Xenopus tropicalis: one gene and its partners. The protein of the gene in region 3 interacts with the protein of the main gene of each other region in a pairwise test. Links are inferred from orthologs where the notes say so. Each region holds a gene or a part of one and is shown on either strand. Other genes may lie near its edges.

What was found.
Region 1: the proteins of egfr (region 3) and megf6 interact in a protein complementation assay, tested with the Homo sapiens proteins (2 studies listed by BioGRID and IntAct). The link is inferred for Xenopus tropicalis from reciprocal best matches to the Homo sapiens genes EGFR and MEGF6.
Region 2: the proteins of egfr (region 3) and map4k1 interact in a protein complementation assay, tested with the Homo sapiens proteins (3 studies listed by BioGRID and IntAct, with this or other methods). The link is inferred for Xenopus tropicalis from reciprocal best matches to the Homo sapiens genes EGFR and MAP4K1.
Region 4: the proteins of egfr (region 3) and prkce interact in a protein complementation assay, tested with the Homo sapiens proteins (3 studies listed by BioGRID and IntAct, with this or other methods). The link is inferred for Xenopus tropicalis from reciprocal best matches to the Homo sapiens genes EGFR and PRKCE.
Region 5: the proteins of egfr (region 3) and adrm1 interact in a protein complementation assay, tested with the Homo sapiens proteins (2 studies listed by BioGRID and IntAct). The link is inferred for Xenopus tropicalis from reciprocal best matches to the Homo sapiens genes EGFR and ADRM1.
Region 6: the proteins of egfr (region 3) and gpm6b interact in a protein complementation assay, tested with the Homo sapiens proteins (2 studies listed by BioGRID and IntAct). The link is inferred for Xenopus tropicalis from reciprocal best matches to the Homo sapiens genes EGFR and GPM6B.
Region 7: the proteins of egfr (region 3) and sh3bgrl3 interact in a protein complementation assay, tested with the Homo sapiens proteins (2 studies listed by IntAct). The link is inferred for Xenopus tropicalis from reciprocal best matches to the Homo sapiens genes EGFR and SH3BGRL3.

The regions. Positions count from the first base shown.
Region 1 is NC_030683.2:101,692,163-101,695,662, forward strand, and holds part of megf6 (multiple epidermal growth factor-like domains protein 6), read left to right. Parts: intron 1-446; coding exon 447-578; intron 579-965; coding exon 966-1,094; intron 1,095-1,687; coding exon 1,688-1,819; intron 1,820-2,629; coding exon 2,630-2,758; intron 2,759-3,500.
Region 2 is NC_030684.2:80,455,411-80,459,442, reverse strand, and holds the start of map4k1 (mitogen-activated protein kinase kinase kinase kinase 1), read left to right. Parts: upstream 1-1,232; 5' UTR 1,233-1,313; coding exon 1,314-1,421; intron 1,422-4,032. UniProt on the Homo sapiens protein: Serine/threonine-protein kinase, which plays a role in the response to environmental stress. Appears to act upstream of the JUN N-terminal pathway.
Region 3 is NC_030682.2:56,891,676-56,895,175, reverse strand, and holds the end of egfr (epidermal growth factor receptor), read right to left. Parts: intron 3,165-3,500; coding exon 3,065-3,164; intron 2,532-3,064; coding exon 2,161-2,531; 3' UTR 119-2,160; downstream 1-118. UniProt on the Homo sapiens protein: Receptor tyrosine kinase binding ligands of the EGF family and activating several signaling cascades to convert extracellular cues into appropriate cellular responses.
Region 4 is NC_030681.2:19,558,191-19,562,349, forward strand, and holds the start of prkce (protein kinase C epsilon type), read left to right. Parts: upstream 1-1,359; 5' UTR 1,360-1,471; coding exon 1,472-1,819; intron 1,820-4,159.
Region 5 is NC_030686.2:4,561,431-4,564,930, forward strand, and holds part of adrm1 (proteasomal ubiquitin receptor ADRM1), read left to right. Parts: intron 1-3,209; coding exon 3,210-3,326; intron 3,327-3,500. UniProt on the Homo sapiens protein: Component of the 26S proteasome, a multiprotein complex involved in the ATP-dependent degradation of ubiquitinated proteins.
Region 6 is NC_030678.2:105,717,909-105,721,104, forward strand, and holds part of gpm6b (neuronal membrane glycoprotein M6-b), read left to right. Parts: intron 1-963; coding exon 964-1,037; intron 1,038-1,794; coding exon 1,795-1,860; intron 1,861-3,196. UniProt on the Homo sapiens protein: May be involved in neural development. Involved in regulation of osteoblast function and bone formation. Involved in matrix vesicle release by osteoblasts; this function seems to involve maintenance of the actin cytoskeleton.
Region 7 is NC_030678.2:77,348,180-77,352,405, forward strand, and holds the start of sh3bgrl3 (SH3 domain-binding glutamic acid-rich-like protein 3), read left to right. Parts: upstream 1-1,426; 5' UTR 1,427-1,473; coding exon 1,474-1,518; intron 1,519-3,343; coding exon 3,344-3,511; intron 3,512-4,226. UniProt on the Homo sapiens protein: Could act as a modulator of glutaredoxin biological activity. May play a role in cytoskeleton organization.

The DNA of each region.
Region 1 (3,500 bases), on a different chromosome or scaffold from region 3:
AATAACAAATATGTGGATAATCAATCAAAGATTTAATCCCCTTTAGTTTAATTTGCACAGGAGATGATGCGGATCTCCAGGTTTCAGACATGATTTCAGACATTACAATTATCCCCTGTGGTACAATGATAGAGAGCTTACATATATTGTAGGAAGTATCAGCTGAGTGTCACAGGAGTATGGTTATTGTAGATCGCTCTTTAACCCCTGCGCTGTGGGACAATGTGCAGAATGTTTAAACAATAGCCCCTTTTTCAGATTCAGATACTGTATTATCATTTGATTTTATATTCTGTAAATCCACATACTTCTGCTACTTACAGGCAGCATATCAGAGCCTGCTGTTCCAGCATGCTGTTCGCCGTAAATAATCCTAGTGAAGAATTCACAAGTTGAATTGTGATCTGCACATGTAAACAGTTTCAATTCTTCCATGTCTGCCACAGATTGCCCTGTAGGACACTGGGGAGCTGGCTGCCAAGAGATCTGTCCCATGTGTGAAAACAACGGCACTTGTAACCCAGCGACTGGAGAATGTACATGCACGCCGGGGTACACTGGCAGCCTCTGCAAAGAAAGTAAGTACTACATGGTTATCACAGTGGCACGTGTCCAGATATCCAGTAAATTTGTCTCTGGTTTGTTTCAGGGATTATTATTGTTATTATTATAAACATAATAGGAGCCCTGTGGGTAGTAAAAGTACCTTTACAAAACCTTTATGGAAAGAAAACAAACAGAAAATAAAATACTGTATATATTAAATATATATATATTTGTGAAACCCTGATGATTGTGCTTATCCATAAAGATACAAAAGCCTTGTTTGTAGGCACCCAGTTGGTTTGCCAGCAGGGGTATCTGGTTATGAAAGTATATATATATATTGTGTTATGGATTGTTAATAGATAATAAATAAAGCATAAGTAATTCAGTGTTCAGTAAGTGTTTTTGCTTTCCTTTAGTTTGTCCTGCTGGTTGGCATGGCCAGGGGTGCCAGATGAGATGTGCCTGTCAGAACAATGGCCAATGTGACCCAGTCTCAGGAAGATGCACATGTCCGCCTGGCTGGACAGGCCATAACTGCAGAAGAGGTAAAATTGCCACCAATATTGGTCTATATGATCTCCAAAGCACCATACAGCACAGGGAGTGGCAGGCTCTAAGGTGTGATAGAAAAATTGTATTATAAATTTGAGCTGTAAATAATATAGAAATGCCCTGGTCTACAGGAAACCTTGGCTCTCTGAGAAGCAAATGCGCATTCATTGACCCTTTTTTTAAAAAGCTGAGCCAAGTAGTTGGCTTCCAAGGCTAGCCTGCCCACATGTCACTGCCATAATAGTTGCACCACCCCAAAGTGAGTACTATGCACATGCTTCTATTGCTTACCCCTAGTTCCAGCCCCGCTTTCTTGTATTGGTTCTTTTTTTGTCTCACAAATATACCTTTTGCTTCCTTCTGGTTTAAAATTCATTGTGTGGGCCACTCTTTCAAGAAGCTGTGACCTTTTTCACACTCCAGAGAATTTACCTGCTGTTAGTTTAACAAAACCATTAGATTAGGAAATTTTTCAAATTTTGAGGTTAAAGGAGAGATGATTTATGAAATTAAATGCCATTTTGTTTTAACTAAGGCTGAGAAGCACTCAATATAGATTTCATTGTCTTTTTTCCCCCCAATCCAGCATGTGATTCAGGGCACTGGGGAACAGATTGCCTCAACCCCTGTAACTGTAGCAACAGTGATGGAAGCTGTGATTCAGTGACTGGACAGTGTGTCTGTGAATCAGGATACATAGGGCTGAATTGTGATCAAAGTAAGTTAGCCATCCGCTTGTGAGATAACACTGTGTATTTCATGCTGTTGTATTCTTACAAATAGAAAGCAATTAAAAGTGAAAGCTTAAAATAGACTTAGAGACCTAGGGGGTCATTTATCAATGCTGAGAAAATTTGCCTGTGGGCAATAACCCCTGGCATCCAGTCAAATTGTTGTTCTGCCTGCAGCTGGCTGAAAAAATACATTCACTGATTGGTTGCTATGGGTTACTGCCACGGTCAAATTTGACAGGTGTTAATAAATGAGCCCCTAGGATAAGAGAGTTATGTAGTAATATGGTAAAAATATAGACCTATGCATTAACCCATAGTTGCCAATCACACTTTGGTGGCAATTATTCTAACTGCATAGACCTATCAGCCTGTTTACTACTGGTTATTACTAGACAGTTGCATATTATATCTGTCACTTTACATGTAGCTATGTAACTGAGCAGCTAATCAGAGGGATAACATGGAAAGTTACCTATCATTGGAAGAACTTAAAAAGATGTAGGAAATGTATTTAACCATACCAGCAGGTTGCAACAGGATTGGGGGGGGGGTGTAAGGCAGTGCAAAAAATTAAAAACAATATCAGGGTGTCCAAAGATCTGCAAACAAAAGGTTCTTACTATTACAAAGTTTTATTAATGGAATAGTCTGCAGTAAGCCATTGTGAAAAATGACTCCCCTAGCTTCTTATCATCTTGGAATAGTTATCTGTTGAGTTCATAAGGTATTATCTTTTCTCATTAGTGCATATTAACCAGTTTAGTCTGACCATATATATGCTATCTTCGCCATAGAATGTGCCGAGGGCTGGTATGGCTCAGACTGCAGGCACCCATGTCAGTGTGATAATGGTGCGGTTTGCGACCATGTGAGCGGGGCTTGCACGTGCGCAGCAGGATGGAGAGGAACATTCTGCGAGCTACGTAAGTATTGATTCACATGCAGCTAAGAATATTAATATCCTTTCAAAATTTTCATTTATGATATGCAGTACATATGTTTTCAACATTAGAGAAAGGAATGAAAACACTGAGGAAGTTATTTTAAGTATTTAAAAATACTTCCTCTACTAATACAGGAAGATGGGCTTAGAGTGGTACAGGAAGGAATGTTGGAAGAGAATATGGGAGACACATTATATTATATTTATGAAATTTGGTTAAAAAAGAGCAGCCTTTTGAGTGGTATATTAGGGTATATGAATTGCTCGTTGACATTCCATAAAATATCTCAATCACAGTTGTAACCAATGGAATGGCAAATCCCTCAGTAGAATGTTTATGCTGTGGAAACGAGACCCTGTGTCTCAGCTATTGCCTTGGGCTATAAGAAAGACATGGTGTGCGTTAGTCACATAGAGGAAATAATCATTAAATGCTCAGAAATTCTCTTGGCTGCCTTCCATAAAGCCAAAGGCCATGTTATGTGAAACGGAACATGTACAGATAAAAGTAATGCTCAGTACAAGTAAAAGTAAGCAAATCATTCGCTTTATGTTGAAATGTTTGACAGAGCCTGTTTTCCAGTGGGGAATACTGAGAAAATGAATGAGTGTGGCAAGTCAGATAGACTGCATTTCAGTGGAAGTGCTGCACCTGTTAATGCACTTTCATTGCATTTATAGAATTTGCATGATATTTCTCCTTCCACCTCTTTTGTTAAACT
Region 2 (4,032 bases), on a different chromosome or scaffold from region 3:
TAAAAGGTGACCCACAAGTGGGCGACCCCTGGAATGGGAGAGTCCTATAATTACCGCCTGCTTTTTACACCTTGTGGCAGATATTTAATCTGAGCAAGGTTCAAAGCATTGTTTGAATGCTACAGAAGGTTTTCTCCCCTTAGTCAGGCAAAATAAATTGTACTATGACTATTTAAATTTTATAAACCTCGTTTCCTTCAGTCTTGGAATTCACAATTACAGCAAAGCAGGCAGGTGTCATTTTGTGGGCACTGTTATTAAGACAAGCTTTGCATCATCCCAAAATGTTTTTTATACACCAAAATGGGGGAACTGATCCCCATGAACATACAGACGATACACAATTATAGACCATGAGTAGAGTGGGGGAATGTGAGGAGTGCAGTTATATCTAGAATGGAAAGTGAAAGTAACTGCCTGCCTCAATGCCTGGGGTATAGAGGTGGGGCAGGCAATATATGGTTGACAACTTAGATTTTCAAATAACTTTATAACAGGTATTTGATGTTTTAATTTAAAAAAAAAAAAAAAATGGGTTTAGTGTTTAATTTGGAATGTCTGGGTGACAGGTCCCCTTTAATGCTCCAGCACTTGCACCCATAACAGCTGTAACAGAGTACCAAAAGCAGTGTCTCTCACGCACCATAATGTAGTTCTGGTTCAGTCCGCCTCTCTAAGAAAAGAAACAAGAAAGGTCAGCATTGTAATCAGGAGAGAGGATGAGTAATGGCTGTGATCCTGTATAAGTTCTAACACAGTGATGGGGACCTGGGGTCTTTGCCTTGCTTAAAGCACCTCTGTTTCAGTGGTAAGGCAAGTTGAAAATTTATAACTTTTCTTTTTGAGTGGAGAGCCCAATAGCAAATTCTCCCCCTCCTGCCCTTCTTGGTGTGCTGGAGGCCAGCTTGATGGTTGGGTGGGAGATAGCAACACTGAAGCTGTATGTTCGGGCTTTTATAGCTAAATATTAACCACCTTGAAGTAAATAGATTTTATTAGAAGTGACCTGGTTAGTGGTGGATAATTTATTAGTGTAGCTGTACTTTCTGCTGCTTTTCCCAAAAGAACTGGAGGATAGGGGCGATATAATGTTTGTGACAGGGCGTGGCAGTCACCAGGATATGTGACTAAGGCAAGGAGCAGTAGCCTATGTGTGTGTGAAAAGGAGCAGGGGACCGGATGCTCACACACATCAAGTGTAAAGTGTTCAGCCTGTCAGGAAGCTACAACATTTATCAACACCAATCAATGTGAAGGCTGCAGCCTGTGCAGTCTTCCTGTGCTCATTCACTTGCACCCTGGCTGCCTGCAAGATGGATGTCCAGGGCCGTTTAACTTTAGATATATCGGACAGGGATCCTCAGGATGATTTTGAGCTAATCCAGAGACTTGGCAGTGGAAGCTACGGTGAAGTTTTTAAGGTAAAGGGGAATGTAAAATGTTACTAGGGTTTCTAGAAGAATTTGGGATGCTACTAGCCTGTATAAGAAAAGTGAATTTGTTTGAATAGTACATATGGTAATGCTGTATTTATCAAAACTTTAGGGATAATGGCTTTCTGGATAATTAACCTCAAACTATTTACATTGAACCATTTGCTATGTACATTTGGATAGGCCTCAGAAATTTGGATATGTAATGTATTGCTGCTTCATCATTTTAATCTGTCTTATTCTTCTATGGGTAATTGCATGCTGTATTACTTGCATGTTGAAAAAACATTAAAACTAAAATAAAATAATGAAAAAATATTTTGTTATGGTGGGTATACCGCATACCAGGGAGAATGCAGCTTAATCCTTCACCAATCCTTCCCTAAACTGCACCCAAAATGCTTGAAAGTCTGCGCCTCATGCTCACACAGGTCATGTCTAACTCTAGTTTCACCTCCAGCAGTGTTGCAGTTCTAGCTCTGTACTTGCCTTGCACTTGCTTTCTTGGTGAGTGGAACATATGACACTAGGTACCCTTTTGATGTATAGGGATATATTCTTAATTCAAATTGATATTGCTGTCTCGTAGTGCATATGCTATCACTGACTCCCTCTTTGGGAGTGCAGAAGTTCAAATGGAAAGTGGTTCTAGGACACTGAGGTAAGTAAGAGGCACAGATAGCTTCTCTGTGCTCTGTATAATACTATGTATCATAGTTTTAAATGTAGTATTGACAGTATCTCTTATTTAAAACCAGTTTGGCCTTTCTTTAAATAATGTCATTTTCACATGGGGGATAGTAGGTTAAGTGGTAAATTGGTTTACTGGAAATTGTTTCACATCTTATAATGTTTGCAAACATAAAGAGGGCTGTTTAATTGCTGACCCAGCAACACCATCATCTGTGTATCTTGGAGTCAGCTAAACAATGCCAGGCTTCATCTCGTACCTCCATTCTAACAGTGAAACCCTGTGCCTTTTTTGTGCCTCTCCCCCACCAACCCTGTCCATGCTGTGCATGCAGTTTTCTCAGAGCTTGCTTCCTGTGGTTCTCATCTAACAGGTGCACACACACAGAGCATCCTCTGGGCTTCCTGTAACTGTGCGCTCTGCTGCGCATACAGCTCTTCTCTTCCTTTGCAGGGCTTCAAATAATTAATGCTAATATGCTAATACCCTGCCTGCAAATAACCACCATTCATCACAGAAAGGACTGGTGGTACATAATGGAGTCTCAAAATGTGCGGTACAGTGACTAGATGGCTTATAACTTGGATAACACTAGATGCCATCCAGTCTGTATTTTAGCCTTGTGCTGAATATATCAAATGCCTTTTGCTTCAGTTACGAAAAATGTTATGTTTTTTATTATTTCCTGAGCTATACAGGACAAACAGGGAAATAATAGTTACTCCATGTTTGGTCTTTGTAAGGTAGATAATTATTTTATCAGTATTGCATCCCCTACCGGCTCCCTTTGTTGTGATGGTTTTTTTGTTTGTCCATTATGTAGAAGGATTATCTACTTCACAAGGACCAAACATGGGTCAGCTTCAGTTTCCTTGTTTAGCTTATGAAGTTACAAAAAACATTTTTTTTTTATGATTAAAACAGAATGCAAAAAGTGTGTTCAGGACAAGCCCTATTCCTTCAACTCATATTGAAAAATGGGGCATACTTTACAGGTACTTTACAGGTACTTTATCCTGTAATTTGTTCTGCATCACATTTATTTTGATGAATCATTTTTGGATGGCTGGTGCAGATTTATTATCTTAATTGTAAAAGATAGCTTTAAGATATTAGACTTAAAGGAGAAGGAAAGGTAAAAACTAAGCTTTATCAGAAAGGTCTATGTAAATACAGTCATAAGCACTTACAGTAATACTGCACTCTATCAAAAGAAACACAGGATTTTCTTTTTTATAAACATGATGTTCTAGTGTTTGACTTCCTCTCTCAGAAAGATCCTTAATTCCCGTGGCAAGAGTCTGCACAGTTCTCTCCTCGCTCCCCTCTCTTGCTCCCCCTTCCACTAGAATGCTAAGAACTCCCTCCCCCCTCCATTAGGAATGTGTGATCTGAGCTAGAGATGCAGGAAAGAAGCTACTTAAAATGGCAGCTGCTATCTTAAGCAAACGAAGAAAGCTTCTAAAGCTGTTTACTCAGGTTTAGTAATGGATTTTGCAGAATAAATATAGTGTTCTAGGTGGCACTAATGTGGCAAATCTATTGGCAGTAAAATGCCAAAATGACTTTCCTTCTCCTTTAATGCACAATAACAGGGAAAGTTGCAAAGTGCGAAAAAACAGATGCAAACTTTTTTGCACTTTTCACCATGTTTTCCTGGGATTTGTGCCTTATAAGCAAAGAGAACACAAAAATATGTGTCTACTGTGTCCAGTTCTGCATAGTGCATACTGTATAGGCAACAAATAGGTGGGATGTGGTTGTAATGTGCAAGGCAGATATGCCAGGGGTTGCCTGTGCCAGGTGCAGTCATTATGCATCTCTAAATTTGCTTGTGAAGTGTTATTTGAGAGGATTCAAATATTATGTATATAAAACAAATTGTTGTTACATAGCTTATTGCATTGT
Region 3 (3,500 bases):
CTTTTTGTTTAAATTAATTAAATAAATCAAATAATTTAGAACTGTGTACCTATGAATTCCTTGTGGGAAATGACACAATTCACACAGGGAAATCAAAAAGATATTAACACAACTTGCATACAGTTTGCCAGTGCACCTAGGGTATCTGTGTTTTATTCTTATATACACAGGCTAGTACTTATCACTGCGTGAATAATCTGACATATTGTGCTATGATCATGAAGATAAATTCCTGTAGTAGTCCCTGCTTCTCATTAGGACATATTAAACAGAGGGTGATTAATGCCTTTGCCAGCATTCAGCCTTTTGTGTACATTTATATGAACACGGACACACACAAAAAAAGAGATCAAATGAATACCCAATACTGCCAGTATGAAACCTCTATATAAATCCCATCACAATCTTATACAGCCAATGAGCTACATTATTCTTGGTTTAATTCTGAAAATATACAACATAAAATAATATCTCACATCTTTAATAAATGTTTTGATGTTTTTGATCCCATATAAAATAAGTGATGCATTAAAAGGTATTTCCTAAATGCATATATCCTTAGAACTTACTATTGTGCTAGTTGGTAAAGTACTAACCACACCATATAGCAGCTTTTCCATCATTTTAAGACATGTAACCAACAGATTATTTAAGTTTAACCAATATGTTTGTACTGGGAATGAGTGATGATGTGCCCAGGTTTACTTTTTTGATTTAATAAACATGATCACATCAATACTGGGGGATTTTTCTATTAAAGCCTTAAAATACTAACATGGTTAAAGTGCAGACAAGAAATATTGCCTTTTATTATGTATAGTCTGAGAGTTGGATATAATCTGGTTTCATTACATATTAGCAGTTAGGCCAAGCTGGGCACGGTTCTGTAAAACAAAATTGTTACTAGATGTTTTGCATAATGAAACAAAACATAATTTAAATTTCCAGTAATCATGATTTAAAAAAATTTCTGTAGATTTAGGCCATGGCACAACTGGTGTATTCTCCGGCCAATGGAGAACATCTTGATCATGGTTGTGCAGCCTGCCATTTACTTAACTGTCCATTTTTCGTCCAAAATCTGCTGCTGACAGGTGCAATCATTGTAAGCAATGACAGACTGCATGACCATATTCTGCTGCTTAGAAGAAAGGCCATTTATTTGTGAAGACAATTGCTACTGCAAGCAGTATCTGTCTTGTTGTTTACATTCTCTGCTTGTTTTGACTCCTGAAAAAATATATCTGAAGCCAAGTGATTAACAGATCTGAAGAGCTAAGTGTACATACAGAGAACAGATAAACAAACACTGCTTTCAATTGCAGTTACATTTGCAAATAACTTTGAAACCACTGATATTTATTCATTAATGTATATTAGAAAGCTGCTTATGCATTTTGCCACTATGCAAAACACAGATTCTGAGTGGACATTTTAATGATTCTGGACACTTATAATGACTCTGTACAAACTCAAACAGACATCTGAAAAACATACATGCATCTTGACGAAGCAAGGCCAAGGTTCCCCAAATGGCAGTGGCTGATGAGGGTCTTATAATTCTTCAACAGCTGAAGGAATGTGGATTAACCAGAGATAAAGCCAAGCTTATTATTTTCTTTGCGTATAACAGACAATATCTAGTATTTTCATATGTCCAATGATCAAATTTCCAAGTTTCTGTCTGTTATCGTCTGAAATGTCATTGGAAATTTTCAGATATCACAATTGTTCTTCCAAGTGTTGCCACCAAAACATGCTCCTCTGTGTGCTGACAGTTTTGCTATTAAAAATGAATCTTGCCAAAATGTGATCCAATACTCACAAAAAGGTGCTATAATTGCTATACGTTATAAAAAAAAAAAAAAAAAAAAAAAAGAAATTGAATGTTTTTTGGTACAGAATAAAAAAAAATATTTATATTTATATATAATTTCTATATAAAAGGTTTGCTGAAGCAACACTGAAGAAAACATTTGCCACTTCCAAGTTACTGTTCCACTATTTATCCATAATGTGCCTCCAATGTCCTGGCCCAAGTATACAAGTACTGTACATAAGTCAGTGGGTTCTAGTGCTATTCACATACTTGCAAAGGCCAAAGAAACCCATCTGAGTTCCCAAACAAGAGGGTGACAGTAATGTTATCTGTCCTTGTGGTCATGCTGAAGCTTCAATATAATCGCTCACAGGTGCCAACCCCAAGTATTCAGGGTTTTGCGCTGCAGGAATTTTAAAATGTCCATTGGTTTTAGGTTCTTTTGGAAAGAAGTCCTGTTGATAGTCAGGGTTATCCAGGTTAATCTGAAGGTTAGCCTTTTGGTCCCAGATGGAGGAATAGTCAAAGTCAGTTTTGGGTACAAGGGTATGGCCTGTGTTCAGATACTCTGGGTTATTAAGGCCATTGCTGTGAGAATTCTGGTAAAGGTTCTCTTTAGGAGACACAGTATTCCCCAGTGGAACCAAATTTTGATATACTGCATTTGTCTGTGTCTCCACAATTGGTTTTGGAACCATCTGATTCACATATTCTGAAAAAGATTGAAAACATATAAAATTATTTCCATTAGAATTGGTTTATTGTTCCTTTGAAAAAGATTCTCTTGTACCTGTAGCCACAGGTATGAAAGCCTGCGTCAGTATTAACCCCCACCAATCCAAAGAAGACAATAATCAAAAATAACAATAAAAATATATAATTTGACACTGTTCATTATTATACTTACAGCAGGAATGTTAATTTGGGAATACCCAAAATTGCTGTACAAAACATACCCTTAATAATATGACATTTATAAGTAATAATCTTAATAATAAGATTATAATATAATAATATTTTTGATCTCTAGGACCTAAAAAATAAATGTCCTACTGGGCTGACCACACATCATGACAGCACATAGTCCAGCCTTAAAGATTTGTTAGACTGTTGTAAGTAAAAGCATGAGGCTGTTGCCATACAGAGATGCAGAGGTTCAGTTTCCCTATGAGCACTCAGAAAATGACCCTGATGTGAACACATAAAGGCTGAAATGTTTTTCTCTATTCTGTAATAAATACCAACCTGGCACAGGCAGGAACTCATCATCAATGCTGTCTTCCAAAATGACTGTTGGATCTGTGCTGTATCTTTGTACAAAGCTGTCTTCTCTAACAGGTGGTCCCTACAGAACATTTTAAAATAGGAGAAAAGAAATACTGATATATTTCTCTATGAATATTAGATATTAACCATTGTCATCATAATGGCCTTATAAACAGCAGTTCTTAAAATGTCTATATAATACATTATTTCCTAGTTATTATTGCAGTTATGGCTAAACTGTATCACTTCCAACAACAGTATTTTGTGTGGGTCATTCAGTTCTTCTGTGGTTGAAAGGAACAATTCAGTGTAAAAAATAGATAGACTGCGCAAAATAAAAAATGTTTTCAATATAGTTAGTGGCCAGATGTCTAACATAATAGCCAGATCACTACTTCCTCCTGTACAGCTCTCT
Region 4 (4,159 bases), on a different chromosome or scaffold from region 3:
TTAATTACTTCTTTTTACGTACTATTACCCACTACCTTTCCCCCAATTTCTTCTCATATAGATTTGTGCAATAGCCATAGGATAGGTATACAAAGCAGATGGTTGGGTGAGCAAGAGGGACCCATTCACTTCTGGGCCCACCGGGAGTTTTCCTGGTATACTGGTGGGCCAGTCCGACGCTGACTGTAAATCCCAGTGCAGTTATACCTACCTACTGTATTTATACATCATACAACATAAAAACAAAATTAAGCCGCTTTCCCATATACAAACCAAAGCAGTATTTGAAACAATGCAGCCCATGTACCCACTGGCCTTCCCTGCAGGAGTGCTACATCCGCTCCAGAGTCAGAACCAGGGGTGCAGAAACCACCACACACTGCTTTCAATGGCAAATAACTTTTAAAACTATTAGCCATTTTGTTAATGAAAGTATTGCTTAGAATGGCAGTGGCTTTCAATGAGGCAGACTGATGTTTGGCTTTATATCCCCTTTAAAATAAAGAATTGCCCCCCCCCCCCCCCCCTGCCCCCTGTGGAAATGCGGAGGGATCAGTGTTGCATGTATGTGTGTGATCTGTTACAGATATTGTGTATTGTGTGAGATCCCTGCCTTTCTCTCTCTCTCTCACAGACACACACAGACACACTCACACACAGACACACACTCACACTCTGACGTCTTTTGTGCATTTCCTGCATTACAAGGAGAGGGGAGGAGAGCTGGGGTGTTGCTAATCAGCGGTGGAGGCAGCAGTGGCAGCGGCGGTACAAGGCATCCAAGCGGGGAGCTACCCAGAGCCGTCTCCCTGCAGCCGAAGCCCAGCCCGGAGCAGCGGAGAGGTCCCCGGGGCATGTGGGTGAGGAGGATCCCGATTGGGCTGCGGCTGTGAGAGCGAACTGCCCGGCTGGGGCTGCTTGTGGGGGAGAAGGTTGTACTAAGACTCCCAGGGAGGCAGGGGGGGGGGTGCGGCTGCTCACAGGCAGCATTTTGGCAGGAAAGCCCGGATTGCACCAACACCTCCGAGCCCCCCTCCCCATGGATGAGCCGATACGGTAGGTAGGAGAGCAGCCGGCCGGGATTAGTGCTGGATTTGCACCCCCCCTTGTTTTCCCGTTAGCGAAGCCCATGTATCCAGCGGCTGCCGCAGCGCTGCGAGTGGAATAAGGGGGCAGCGGATCGTTCTATTCCCGCACCCCCCCCCCCCCCAGCGGGCTGCCCATAGGGACATGCAGAGGTGTAACTTGGATTGACTGCGCCCACGTCTTGCCCAGTCTGTGGCCATTGAACCTTAGGGCCACATAGGCGCAAGCCCTAGCGCTAATGCCCCTTTTCATTTACTCCTCTCCATCTTAATGCATAGGAAGCCACTAGCTGTGGCCCTTACACTTGTCTGCCAGTCTGTGCCCTAATTGCCCTAGTTACACCTCTGCTGGGAGGCAACCCCATCCCCAGACACCTTGGCCCACCATGGTTGTATTTAATGGTTTGCTGAAAATTCGGATTTGTGAGGCGACCAACCTGAAGCCCACCGCCTGGTCCCTGAGACATGCCGTGGGCCCCCGACCCCAGACCTTTCTGCTGGACCCCTACATTGCTGTCAATGTGGACGACTCCAGGATAGGACAGACCTCCACCAAGCAAAAGTCCAACAACCCCACCTGGCACGATGACTTCTCTACGGACGTCTCCAACGGCAAGAAGATCGAGCTGGCGGTCTTCCATGATTCCCCCATAGGGTACGACGATTTTGTAGCCAACTGCACCATCCAGTTTGAGGATCTACTGCAAAATGGGAGCCGACACTTCGAGGACTGGGTAAGTGATGGCTTTCACCCATCCATCCATAATCTCATTTGCTGCACTCTATAGACCTGCTCTATAGCTGTTCCAGAGCATGTAGTATTTCTATACAGTTTAAGGGTGAAGGCACACAGGGCTGCTTAGTAGCAGCTACTTGTCACGGCTACTAAACTCCAGAAAATACCCTGCCATAGACAATACTGAGAATTGCCTCTGCTAAAACCCTTGTAGAGACAGTTATCAGTAAATGATTAATATTGTCTATTTTAGTAGCTGTGACAAGTAGCTCCGTGCATCTTTAACCTAAAGAGTTTTGGGGTTCAGCTTAAAAAAGCAACTGGAGGGCCGTAGCTCAGACACCACAGGTACAGAACTTTATTAGGGGTGCTGAGTTATAGGGCATATGTGTATTATAGGGCTAGGGTAGCATTAAGGCTACTTTGTGACAGTGGTTAACAAAAAAAAAAAGGGAAAATGGAATCCCTTCCCTGCAAATCCGGCAATTGCCCCCTACTCTGCCTATTGTTGTACTACCGGAGCGTGGAGGAAATCCTCTAATAAGGAATGACAGGGCTTTTCCTTCGGCACACTCTGCTTGTGGGCCGGTGGCAGAGGGCACTAAATCCCCGTGCCTTGCATGCAGCACTTGTCTTTGTACCCAGGAGGTGCCAGTGTTTGCTTGGGCATCTAGCAAAGGGCCATTTGGCAGAAACTCTCTACTGAAATATAAATGGCTGTTTGAGTTAGTGCTGGGCGCCCTGGCAGTGGCTTTGCTGGCCTAGTGGGCAGGGGGGCACATTGAGTACCAATCAATGAACATTGAAATCACAGCAGTGTAAAAAGCATCTGGTAATCACAACCTATAGCCTACACTACAGTATATGTGACTGTGGCACGTAGATTATTTAGGGGGAACAACAGCACATGTAGCAGGGCAAGAAATACCCTCTGGGAAGGAGCCACAAGTCATCAGTACCTGTAGCATTGTAGTGAATATACCCTGGGAAAGGACCACAAGTCATTAGTACCTGTAGCATTGTAGTGAATATACCCTTGGAAAGGACCACAAGTCATTAGTACCTGTAGCATTGTAGTGAATATACCCTGGGAAAGGGCCACAAGTCATTAGTACCTGTAGCATTGTAGTGAATATGTTTCAGATGTTTCAGGTTACCATGTTGGTTAACCACGGAGCTTGCACCCAACATACGTTATGGCAGTGCAACTGCTCTGTGGGTGTCAGAAGCAACACTGTGCGTCATTTCAGTCAAGTACAAACCAAACTGTCATGGGGCATCTGAATATACCCTGGGAAAGGGCCACAAGTCATCAGTACCTGTAGCATTGTAGTGAATATACCCTGGGAAAGGGCCACAAGTCATTAGTACCTGTAGCATTGTAGTGAATATACCCTGGGAAAGGGCCACAAGTCATTAGTACCTGTAGCATTGTAGTGAATATACCCTGGGAAAGGGCCACAAGTCATCAGTACCTGTAGCATTGTAGTGAATATACCCTGGGAAAGGGCCACAAGTCATTAGTACCTGTAGCATTGTAGTGAATATACCCTGGGAAAGGGCCACAAGTCATTAGTACCTGTAGCATTGTAGTGAATATACCCTGGGAAAGGGCCACAAGTCATCAGTACCTGTAGCATTGTAGTGAATATACCCTGGGAAAGGGCCACAAGTCATTAGTACCTGTAGCATTGTAGTGAATATACCCTGGGAAAGGGCCACAAGTCATTAGTACCTGTAGCATTGTAGTGAATATACCCTGGGAAAGGGCCACAAGTCATTAGTACCTGTAGCATTGTAGTGAATATACCCTGGGAAAGGGCCACAAGTCATCAGTACCTGTAGCATTGTAGTGAATATACCCTGGTAAAGGGCCACAAGTCATTAGTACCTGTAGCATTGTAGTGAAAATACCCTGGGAAAGGGCCACAAGTCATTAGTACCTGTAGCATTGTAGTGAAAATACCCTGGGAAAGGGCCACAAGTTAGCAGCACCCAAACTAATGCTGTCAATATCCCATGGGAAAGGGCCCCAAATCAGCTGCACCTCACAATACATACCATCAATACCCTCTGGGAAGGGGCAAGCAATCAGCAGCACTTTGCAGCATTGCAGTAAATATACTCTGTGAAGGGGCCACAGATTAGGAGCAGCCACAGTTAAAGCAGAGAATGCCTGCCTTCTGATTAGGGATGCTGAATGAGGGAGTACAAAGTGGGTCGGATTGGGCTCAGAACACTTTATATAGGGGTTGTCCATCGTTTCATCAGGGAGTTGTAGGTTAGAACTGACTGTAAGATGTGGGGCAGCTCAGGTCTGGCTGTGGGCTCTGCTGCC
Region 5 (3,500 bases), on a different chromosome or scaffold from region 3:
TTTTTAGAGCGAAAGAAAAGAGAGAAATACAAGGAGACACCCAAACAGGTGGTCCCTGTCTAGACTTCAGAATTGTTGCACCGTTAACCCCAAAGAAAGAGAAAAGAGGTAATTCACTTGATCAGGTGTTGTAGGACATTAAAACTTAACCTTTATTGGTAAAAATTAAAAAGGTGAAGTATATCTTAGAATAATATTCAATTAAAGGAGACATATCCTATAAAAATGATGAATGTACCAGGGAATTATACTCCTCTAGATATAGAAGGGTTGTGTTTCTGACTGATTTATTGAGAAATTCCCCCAAAACCCCACTAGCCCCGCCCATCTGTTCCACTTCCTGCTGGCTGAATTCTCTGGATGAGCTGGGGAGCCGGCGGCACTCAGTACCCTGCACTGTAGGATAGGAACAAATCAGCAGCTAGGCTGACCTGATAGGGAACTGAAGCCTGTCTTTGCTTGTGTGACTGCAGGGCTGTGATTGGCTCTCCCCCTCCTACTGTGCTTCTGGCAGGGACCGTTAGGCCACGCCCACTCTTCATTTCAAACTCGGACAGAGAAGTGAGAGGATCTATAGGGAGCTCCAATAAAGGGGCCATTGTTACAGATAGGGTTAATGTTTAGCCCAAAGGGAAACCAGCACCGGATATTATTCATAATTGCCTACAAAATTACCTTTTTTTTTCCCCATTTATCCAATATGTCTCCTTTTAAAGTACAAACTATGAGGTATTATAAGGCTGCTCAGAGTTAACCTGCCTCATTCAATTCACTAAATTGTTACAGCTTAAAAAATAACTATTGTATCAAACACTCTCCACAAACCCACAGCCCTATAGAGGCAGCCAAGGAGAGATTGCAAAAAAAAAACGCCGGCAACAATTGTTGCAAAATTGTTGCCAAACAAGGAGAAGTCGAGTCCAGTTTCCTTATGAGCTATATTAACTGCTGGGACAGGGTAGGGCAGTGTTTTTCAACCTTTTTTGGGCAAAGGCACACTTGTTTCATGAAAAAAATCACGAGGCACACCACCATTAGAAAATATTAAAAAATTTAACTCTGTGCCCAGCAGCAGTGCCCCCCTAGTACACTGGTGCCCAGCAGCAGTGCCCCCCTAGTACATTGGTGCCAAGAGCAATGCCCCCCTAGTACATTGGTGCCCAGCAGCAGTGCCCCCCTAGTACATTGGTGCCCAGCAGCAGTGCCCCCCTAGTACACTGGTGCCCAGCAGCAGTGCCCCCTAGTACACTGGTGCCCAGCAGCAGTGCCCCCCTAGTACATTGGTGCCAAGAGCAGTGCCCCCCTAGTACATTGGTGCCCAGCAGCAGTGCCCCCCTAGTACATTGGTGCCCAGCAGCAGTGCCCCCCTAGTACATTGGTGCCAAGAGCAGTGCCCCCCTAATACACTGGTGCCCAGCAGCAGTGCCCCCCTAGTACATTGGTGCCAAGAGCAGTGCCCCCCTAGTACATTGGTGCCCAGCAGCAGTGCCCCCCTAGTACATTGGTGCCAAGAGCAGTGCCCCCCTAATACATTGGTGCCCAGCAGCAGTGCCCCCCTAGTACATTGGTGCCAAGAGCAGTGCCCCCCTACTACATTGGTGCCCAGCAGCAGTGCCCCCTAGTACATTGGTGCCAAGAGCAGTGCCCCCCTAGTACATTGGTGCCCAGCAGCAGTGCCCCCCAGTACATTGGTGCCAAGAGCCAGCCCCCCTAGTACATTGGTGCCCAGCAGCAGTGCCCCCATAAGTCAGTGTGCCCCGTGGCCCCCCCTAATACATTGGTGCCCAGCAGCATTTTACTTCTGCTCTTCGGCGGCTTCAGCAGCATCTTCCCCTCACGCGCGCCAACTCTGCACTTCTGCCTACACGCGACCGCACACAGGCCCTTTTATAACGGTGCGCCCCGTGCGTACTGACGTCACCCGTACACACGGGGCGCAACCAATGACAGGGCCCGGATTTTATTAAAGGGGGCCCGAGCTACTAAGAAAAACTGTAGCATCGCCGGGCCCCCTTTGAAAGTAAAAATTGCGGCCCTGCCTACGGCACACCAGGCAACACTAGTGTGCCGCGGAACAGCGGTTGAAAAACGCTGGGGTAGGGGATTCAGACCCCGTCATAGCTGTGTTAAAGTACAGAACTCTTTCAGCTATAGGCTGGAATTCAGCCATTTTCTGTGCCCACCACCCCACCATAGATTGAGTACAGGTAGCTCAATGTTGCAGCCGAACCCCGTTTTTTACATTGAGGCACCTCCGCTTATAAAATGCACATCAGTCGTGCAAACAAATCAGCCCACCCTTCCCAGAGTCCCGCATCAACACCCGCTGCACCCCCCCTACAAGCCCATACCCTGGTAAAAAATGATAATATAGGAATGGAGAGAGCTAGCACCGTCCTCACTAACTATACACATTCAAACCATAGCCATCTACACTCCTATCTTGAAGTTGTATGAAATGGTAACGTGCAAGAGTGGAGAGTGTTTGATACAATAGTTTATTTTTTAAGCTGTAACAATTTAGTGAATTGAATGAGGCAGGTTATAATACCTCATAGTTTGTACTTTAATTGAATATCACCCCAGGCGATTTTTAATGGGGATTATTCTAAGATATACTTCACCTTTTTAATTTTTACCAAGTTTTAATGTCCTACAACACCTGATCAAGTGAATTGCCTCTTTTCTCTTTCTTTGGGGTTACCGGTGCAACAATTCTGAAGTCTAGACAGGGACCACCTGTTTGGGTGTCTCCTTGTATTTCTCTCCTTTTTTTCTGTATAATTTTACTTCAGTTGCACGTTACCTCCGTGTTCTCACTCCATTTCATACAACTTCAAGATAGGAGTGTAGATGGCTATAATTTGAATGTGTATAGTTAGTGAGGACGGTGCTAGCTCTCTCCATTCCTCTTTTTAGAGCGCTAAGGCAACATTCCCATAATGCACCAGGCCAGCAATCCGTCGGAGTCAATAGTCCTGCACACAAAAGGCTTCAAGCCAGGTGAAGGCACTCTCAGACCTGGGCAATTAAAGTGCCGAGACTGCTTTTAGCCAGAGACCGTGGGAAAGCTCTCGCTGCGCACAGCCAGTGGCCTTTAGAAAGCAGCCATTGTATACAAACCGAGGCCATTCTGTGCAGCCGATACTTCACTTAACCGTATTGACCGCGTTTAGCTCACCCTCTCCCCTTGTGTTTGTCTTTTACAGGATCTGATCATCTTTCCAGACGACTGTGAGTTCAAGAGAGTGTCGCAGTGCACCACGGGGCGCGTGTATGTGCTCAAGTTCAAGGCCGGCTCCAAGAGGCTCTTTTTCTGGATGCAGGTTTGTTTGTTCCTTCTATAATATGTTAAAGGGGTGGGTCACCTTTAAAGAAGAAAGAAAGGTAAAAACTAAGCTTTATCAGAAAGGTCTATGTAAATACAGCCATAAGCACTCACAGAAACGCTGCACTGAGTTCTCTGTCAAAAGATTTGTTGTGCCTGTTTTCCTCTGCCA
Region 6 (3,196 bases), on a different chromosome or scaffold from region 3:
CATACCACCCAAATGTGCACTAACCTATATCATTCTGTAGTAAGTGCATTTGCTTTTGCAGTCCCTGCTTTAGTGAGGCTACTGGTGCCTTTTCTTACTGTTATCTGATCTATCTCTACGCACCTGGTTATTGATATTTGGAAAACATTTTAGGAACCATGTGGTGCTTGTTCCCCTGGTGACTGGACTTTCATTGAAGTACTGGAGGTATTAATACTAAGTAGAGATAAATACAGTGACTCCTGAAGTGATGCAGATACAGTAATTATACTCTAATAGAGGGACTACAAGACCTGAAATACTGAGAAACATCCTGTGAGGCACCAGTGAATAAGAAAGTCCAGGTAGAACAGGTGTCCTGTATGGCCAGGAAGCTGCCCACTTCACTTTACAGTGAAGAAGAGATCTCTAGACCACTATGTTTTCTGAAGATGGGGAAGTTGTATTACTATAATATTTATTGTATTACTTAATATTTGCTGCTGTTCCTTTAGAATGAAGCACGTTTGAAGCACAGCTGTTATTCTAGGGATAACATAGCTGTGTTAAACCATAGCTCTCAGGGAGGCAGGGGATACTGGAATTGTATTGGTAGCAGCTACAAAAGCCATTGGCCAGTGCATATTTTTACATTAGTATGATTTTTTAGCCTGACCTTTCTTGTGATAGACAATAAAAATGTTTTTTTTTTTTTTTTTTTTTACCGCAAGTAAATGTGATTTCTTTAGACTCTGCAGGCCCATTGGGTCTCTGCAGCTTTTCACACCGAGAGCTGTCTGAGTTAGAAGCATGGGCTGGCATATTAGGCGCACTGCTGAAAATGTCATCTTTCCAAGCATCAAAGCAATCACTTTCTGTGTGGGTGCACGGAAAGGAACACAGATGGCAAGTGGGTGGAAGGGTAGAGGAAGGAATGTGCAGAAAGGAGGCTTTGTAACGATTTGCTTTCTCTTGTCTGTGTAGGTATCATTCCATGGAATGCTTTACCTGGAAAAGCATGTGGGCAAGCTTTGGAACAAATCTGCAATAGCAATGAGGTATTTTTATCTCAAGAAAATTCCTATGCATGGAAATTGTGATTATATGCCCCAGTGAAAAGTAAATACGATAGTTGTCCACTCCCATCCTCTTTTCTTTCTTCAAATACTTTTCCTTAGCGTGCATTATCTAATGGCTGCTGTAGTTCTAAATACCAAAGAGAACTTCTTTTTATATTACTGTTTTGTGGGGAAACATTTTGTCCCATATAGAGCTGGTGCAAAAAATACTATCTAACTTTTGAATACATGCTGAATAAGAGCAGTTATTTTCTGCTTAAGTCCACATATGCTGGTCCTTTAAAGAACCTACATGCCAGTAGGCTTTCCCTACAGTTTATAAGATCACCTAAAACCTATGATATCCCCTAGAATGGTTGGGTAACTCTAAGACTATTTTACACTGATCGTAAAGCCATAATAAGCGGAGCTATAAAAATGCATACAGAAAAAACCCTACCAATGTCAGTGATGTAGTGCTACATTAGTTTGTCAGTCAATGTCACTACAGATGTTGCAGAACCCTAACATCTGAGTTTTGCAGGAAAAATGGGCAGTGACGGCATGGAAAGGGGTTAGTTAGGGGCAAGTTAGGGCATGGTGAATGTGTCATGTAGAACTTTAGCTTTCAGAATCTGTCCTGTCTAAGCTGGGACCAGATGGTGGCACCTTTTCTTCTACATGAGTTTATGCCTGTTGCAGTCCATTCTTTAATAATACCTAATTGTCCTTTCTGTTTGATTATTCATTCCTTTAGTTCTACATGTCCTATCACCTCTTTATTGTGGCTTGTGCTGGAGCTGGGGCAACTGTCATTGCCTTGGTAAGTATCATCCTTGTCTGACTTTCTTAGGCTAGTAAGGTAATAGCTATTCCAGCAAATCAGAATTTCACCTCCCTTCCAAAAGTGATTTTATCTTAAGCATGAGAAGCATTTTAACTCTTTGCTTTTTGTAAAAGTGCTTGCCCAAATTCCTTTTTGCTGGGTGAAAATAGAAATGCATCAAATTCTCCGCTGCAACTAGTGCAGATCCTGTTTCCAGTCACATAATAATGGCAATGTTGCTCAGCTGGATCTCAAGCTATGGCATCCAACCCCTTACAGTATCTGTTGCACACAGGTGGTTTAGAAGAACAGCTATTTCAGTAATATGCCAAGGATGTGGAAATGTAGCTAGCAAATTGTGGCTTGGAAAACTAGATTTAAGAAAATAGGAATATAATGTGGGAGTATAATGTCTTTGTAGTACAGCATGTTGTCATACCACTCTCTATTGAGCTACTGTAACCTTTATAGCGCTGTGTCTTTTTCTTGACTGTGTGGGCATATTCCCACCTATGTACTTTTTGTTACTCCCTACCATTATGTGCAGCTTCCCAGTATAAGAAAATCAGGCCATGTACAAACAGTGGTAATTTAACTGTAGAATGGGAATAACTTTAAGAACTTCCCAAATAGGGTATATTCTTTAACACCAGTCCTAAAAGCATCACTTAAAGGTAAAATGTGCCCCTCTTTTTATTACATATTACTTATTAACATAAGTTAATTCAGTTTGGCTTATGTAGAAAAGGTGCATAAATACTATTTGAAAGTCAACCAAAAATATACGAGTGTACATTTTTACACAGACATATTTGATTCCACAGACTAAAAGGAAACCATTATACTTTTAAGAACCATTTCCTGCCCCTTAGACTCACAGTGTAATGCAGCTCCTCCTTTACCTTGTTCCATTGTGAGGTGATTGATTCTGAGACTTGAAGTCCCTCTGCTTTCCGTAGCAGGTGGAGCACATATTTTGTGGAAAGGGAATTCACATCCCAGAATAAATCATTTCACAATGGAACAAAGTAAGGGTGGGGTTGCAATCTACTGTAGACCTAAGGGGGTGTTACAAAATGGTCCTTAAGAGTATCCTGGTTTCTTTTCAACCTGTGGATTTGGGTTTGCCTGTGTAAATACAATTTCAGTGACATAAATGTATTTATACATGAAATTGTAAACATGTATTTTTTTTGCCAGTTTATATAGAGTTTATAAAAAATTTTGTTACATAAGCCCAGCAGAATGATATAAAAATAAAAACGTAACTATTAAACTGTATGCTTAACTGGGAAGTTATTAAAATGCAAATATAGAAATAATTGAGGGGGTT
Region 7 (4,226 bases), on a different chromosome or scaffold from region 3:
TATTTGTGTGTATTTTAAAGTGACGCTATAACATAAAGATCTTCCACATCTAAATATGGGTATTGTAAAAATATAAATAAAACAATTTGTTTATTAAAAATGTAATAACAGATGTAACCAAAGCAACCTGGCCAATAATCTAATGAAGTTAGTTGTGGACAATGCTCTGAACCTAAGATCTTCTATCAACCATCTGAATATCTGCTGGTAGATCATATTCTCTGGTGGTTGCATTACTGGAGAGGCAGGAAGGCCAACACACACATCACATCATATTCTCCTATAACGGATGCCTGTAGACGATGAAAATCTCACACTATATTCCAGAACCAATTACAAAAACACCTCATGTGTCAAATTTACAACATCTCCATGTTTAACTTACAGCTCAAAGAAGAACACCGCATATTTGGACAAAATACCTTATAAGTATGTATATATTGAAACTGCTTAGCAGTCAGTGTTTCAATGGGACCCCTATATATTAATAGCCCTTAACCATCACTGGGCCTGCTTCTGTTATAGATATAACCTTGGAACCCTAGATGTTGCTATACCACGAGAATCCCTAACATAATAGCAAGCTAAAATGTTGGAAGTTGTGGTCCAGCGAGGGTTTCAACACAGGTGGTAGAAAATATTGAAAACCAAAATACCCCTGCCCCTCTTTACCATGTGTAAAGGGATAATTCACCTTTAAAGTAACATGAGGCAATTTGCAGATGGTCTTCGTTTATGATTGGTGGTGGGTGTTTTTCATTTTTTTTTTTTTTAATGCATTTTTAAAACATGAATGCCAATGCCACATAAAACACATAAAAACATCCAGGTGTAAAAGCCCTAAAGCAACTCCCTAGTTTAAAATGAAGATGGCTGCCTGGTTGCAAGGGGAAATTTACTCTAGCAACGTCCAGGCTCAGCCATTGATGAGCCAATGCAAAAAAAATTATTAGCACTTGTCTTTCTAATGATGAGAGACAGTTTATTTCTACATAAACTTTTTAATTCTGTTATTATTTACAAATATCTACCTTGATTTTGTTTCACATTGATTCACAGTAAGACAACCCAACTAATAAGCAATAATGTAAGCAATAATTGTCCTTGAGAGTAGAGACCACTAAGCCTTGTTTAACTCATTGCAATAGAAGTTGTAAGTTGGACACATCTTCCCACAAAACTAAAGCGTATGCCTATAGGTAAATAAGGGATAGTGGTATAACGTTTACTAAACAAAAGCAGATGGCGCCTAAAAATATAAGCATATACATACAGACGGGAAATATATAAGTTCCGTATACGAACATTAGCCGCTAGGTATAAGGAAGATACACTACACAAAAGCGTTTCTGGATAGGCTTAGGCAATTGTAGATAAGCGCAAAGTATGTTTTTGTGATTGGTCCCCTGCCTATCACATGGTGGGAGAGGCCGGAAGTACTGCTGCAGAGTAATATCACGGCTGGAGCTAAGGATGGTGGTGAAAGTGTATTACACGTCGGTAACCGGATCCCGGGAGGTGAGATTTCATGATAACATGCATTGACAAAAGTGGCGCTACGATGGATTGTGTGTGCAACTTGCGTTACAAATACTGCGTCTGCCTCTATATTGGTTGGGAGGGCTTGCTTCCCCGCCCTTATTTAGAAATGCCAGAATCAGTACCTTATTCCACCGAGGGAAATGTTGGCTTTAGAAATGGCCGAGGATTTTTAATTGCGTTTATTTACAACTTCCTGTAGTTGTGAAGCACTCCCTGTGGCATTTGCATTTAAATATATGTCTGGCACATTGGTTGATGCAATGCACAATGCAAACTTATCTTGGGACACAGCCAGCAACAAACTGCAGCTACTGCATTTGTGTTGTATCGCTTTCATTCAAATCATTTTGATATACTTGCATAGATAAAATGCAGGGAAATTCAGCTTTTGTGTCTTATATTGCAGGGATCAAAAAAGGGTATGATGAAAGACTACTGATTGCCATCCAATCAGAGGTCCCCCTAGTCTGTCTCTTACACATTGTCATCCTTTCTTGTTAGCAGCCACAAATACTGATTTAGAAACACTAATTGCTACATTGTGACATGTACGTATTATTTATGGGAAGTGCTCTTAACTCCTCTGTTGAAAATTGACAACATTAGTAACTGGTAGTAGAAGGTATTATTTTCTATAACTGCATGTTCATTTCAACATAAGCTTAACTCAGCACCTCGATAATATAGACTAGTTTTTCAACAATATGTGTATCCTTTATACCAGTGATCCCCAACCAGTGGTTCGCGAGCTACATGCTGCTCACCAGTCCGATGGATGTTGCTCCCAGGGGCCTCAAAGCAAGTGCTTATTTTTTTTTGTTAATTCTTAGCTAGAACACCCCCATGAACATTTTGCATGCCTGTGTGACTCTCCAAATTTTTTTTTATATCTGAATGTCACTCACAGGTTAAAAAAGTTTAGGACCCCTGTATTATACAAAACAAACACATATTTCCTCTAGTGTACGTCTTCTATTTTACCTTCCACAGTGCTCTATGTGTCCATATAGTCTCAGTGCATGGGCGTTTTCTTGCTGCTTGCCAGCGCTTGTGAAATCTTTATACGAACACACCTTTCATATTGAGCTGTTCTTGGTTTATACACGCCCTCGGCTCTAATTCTAAACTGCATCTAAATATATCTTTTTTTTTTTTTTTTTCAGTGTCTTTTTTTACTGTTGAATATGCCACATGAAAATATGTATTGCCCTCTCTGAAAGAAAATAAAAAATGAGCATTAGCATAGCCTTGTTTCTAAATACCACGGTGTCTTTGCATAATTCCTTTCTCAAACAGCATACTGCAGTGCTGCGTTTGAACTTTGTGCAGTCTGTGGGAAACAGTCCAAGCAAGCAATACTACATTACTATGTTATGCAGAATAGCACTTTTGAAGAGTGAGTGAAATATATTTGCTAATAATTGGGCATCTCCTACTGGCAGAGTGTTTGGTGCAGCAGTTGATATTAGCAGAGATACCTTACTTTTTTGCAGGATATACACTGACCGCCTACCAGCTTACAGAATGTACTTCAGCATTCAGGCCAGCCCTAGTGTCTGTGCACTAAATAAATTATAAAAAAGGAAGTGGGGCAATCCCTGAAAATGCAGAAGACACACAATACTTTTTAGCCTGTTGGCCTTTGTAAAGAACTTCCTTAAATAATCACAAACTGGGTTTTTTTCCTGTGACTGAATTTTTTTTTCTCACTTCCTATTATGAACATCTGTGCCCAATTATGTTGTAAACACTTGCCATAATTTTACTACTACTAATGTATCTATATATGCTTAATTTTTAGATAAAGTCTAAACAAAGTGAAATCACTCGTATCCTGGATAGCAAATGCATTAAATATGAGACAGTGGATATCTCTGCGGATAACAATATCAGAACAGAAATGAGGCAGATGTGTGGGAACCCCAATGCATTTCCACCTCAAATCTTCAACGATGACCAATATTGTGGGGTAAGTGTGTTGCCATTTTGTACTCCATAAGCCAATGGCTTGGAAGGCAAGTTTTTTTTGCATGTGAACCGCCAAACAGAGCCTTCTGCAGTCTGCCAGTCCACATAGGGGCTACCAAAGATCCAATAACAGCCCTTATTTGGCACCCCCAGGTACATTTTTCATGCTTGTGTTGCTCCCCAACTTTTTTTTACATTTTAATGTGTTTCACAGTAAAAAAAGGTTGGGAATCCCTGCCATAAGTTAATGTCACAGCAGGTATAATCATCTTCTATGTACTTTTAACCACCTGCTTTGTGACCAATGGGAAGGAGGTACGGACAGTTTGAGGCATTTCTTCGCTGGCACATATTCCTAGCTATTGGCTTTGGCTAATGTCACATGGTGTATCTCCGCCAGCTCCTTTTTGCTGACTAAGCATGTCATTGTTCACATGGGTAGGGATTTTGACCTGAAAACTGTAAACTTTGAATGGGTCCAGAAAAATACACACAAGGTACCTAACTGCTGTTTTATAGACAGGTAGGCTACTTCAAGTAAAAATATATAATTTTTTATGAAAAAAAATAGGCTGGACAAAAAACTAAATGCCACAACATCAGTAAGAATTTTAGGGCATGGTGTACTGTGTTATGTATTGTAAACTAAATGTAGAATAAAATGCATGATGGTGCATTTAATTATGGGTTTGCATACATAATATTAAATGTCTTGA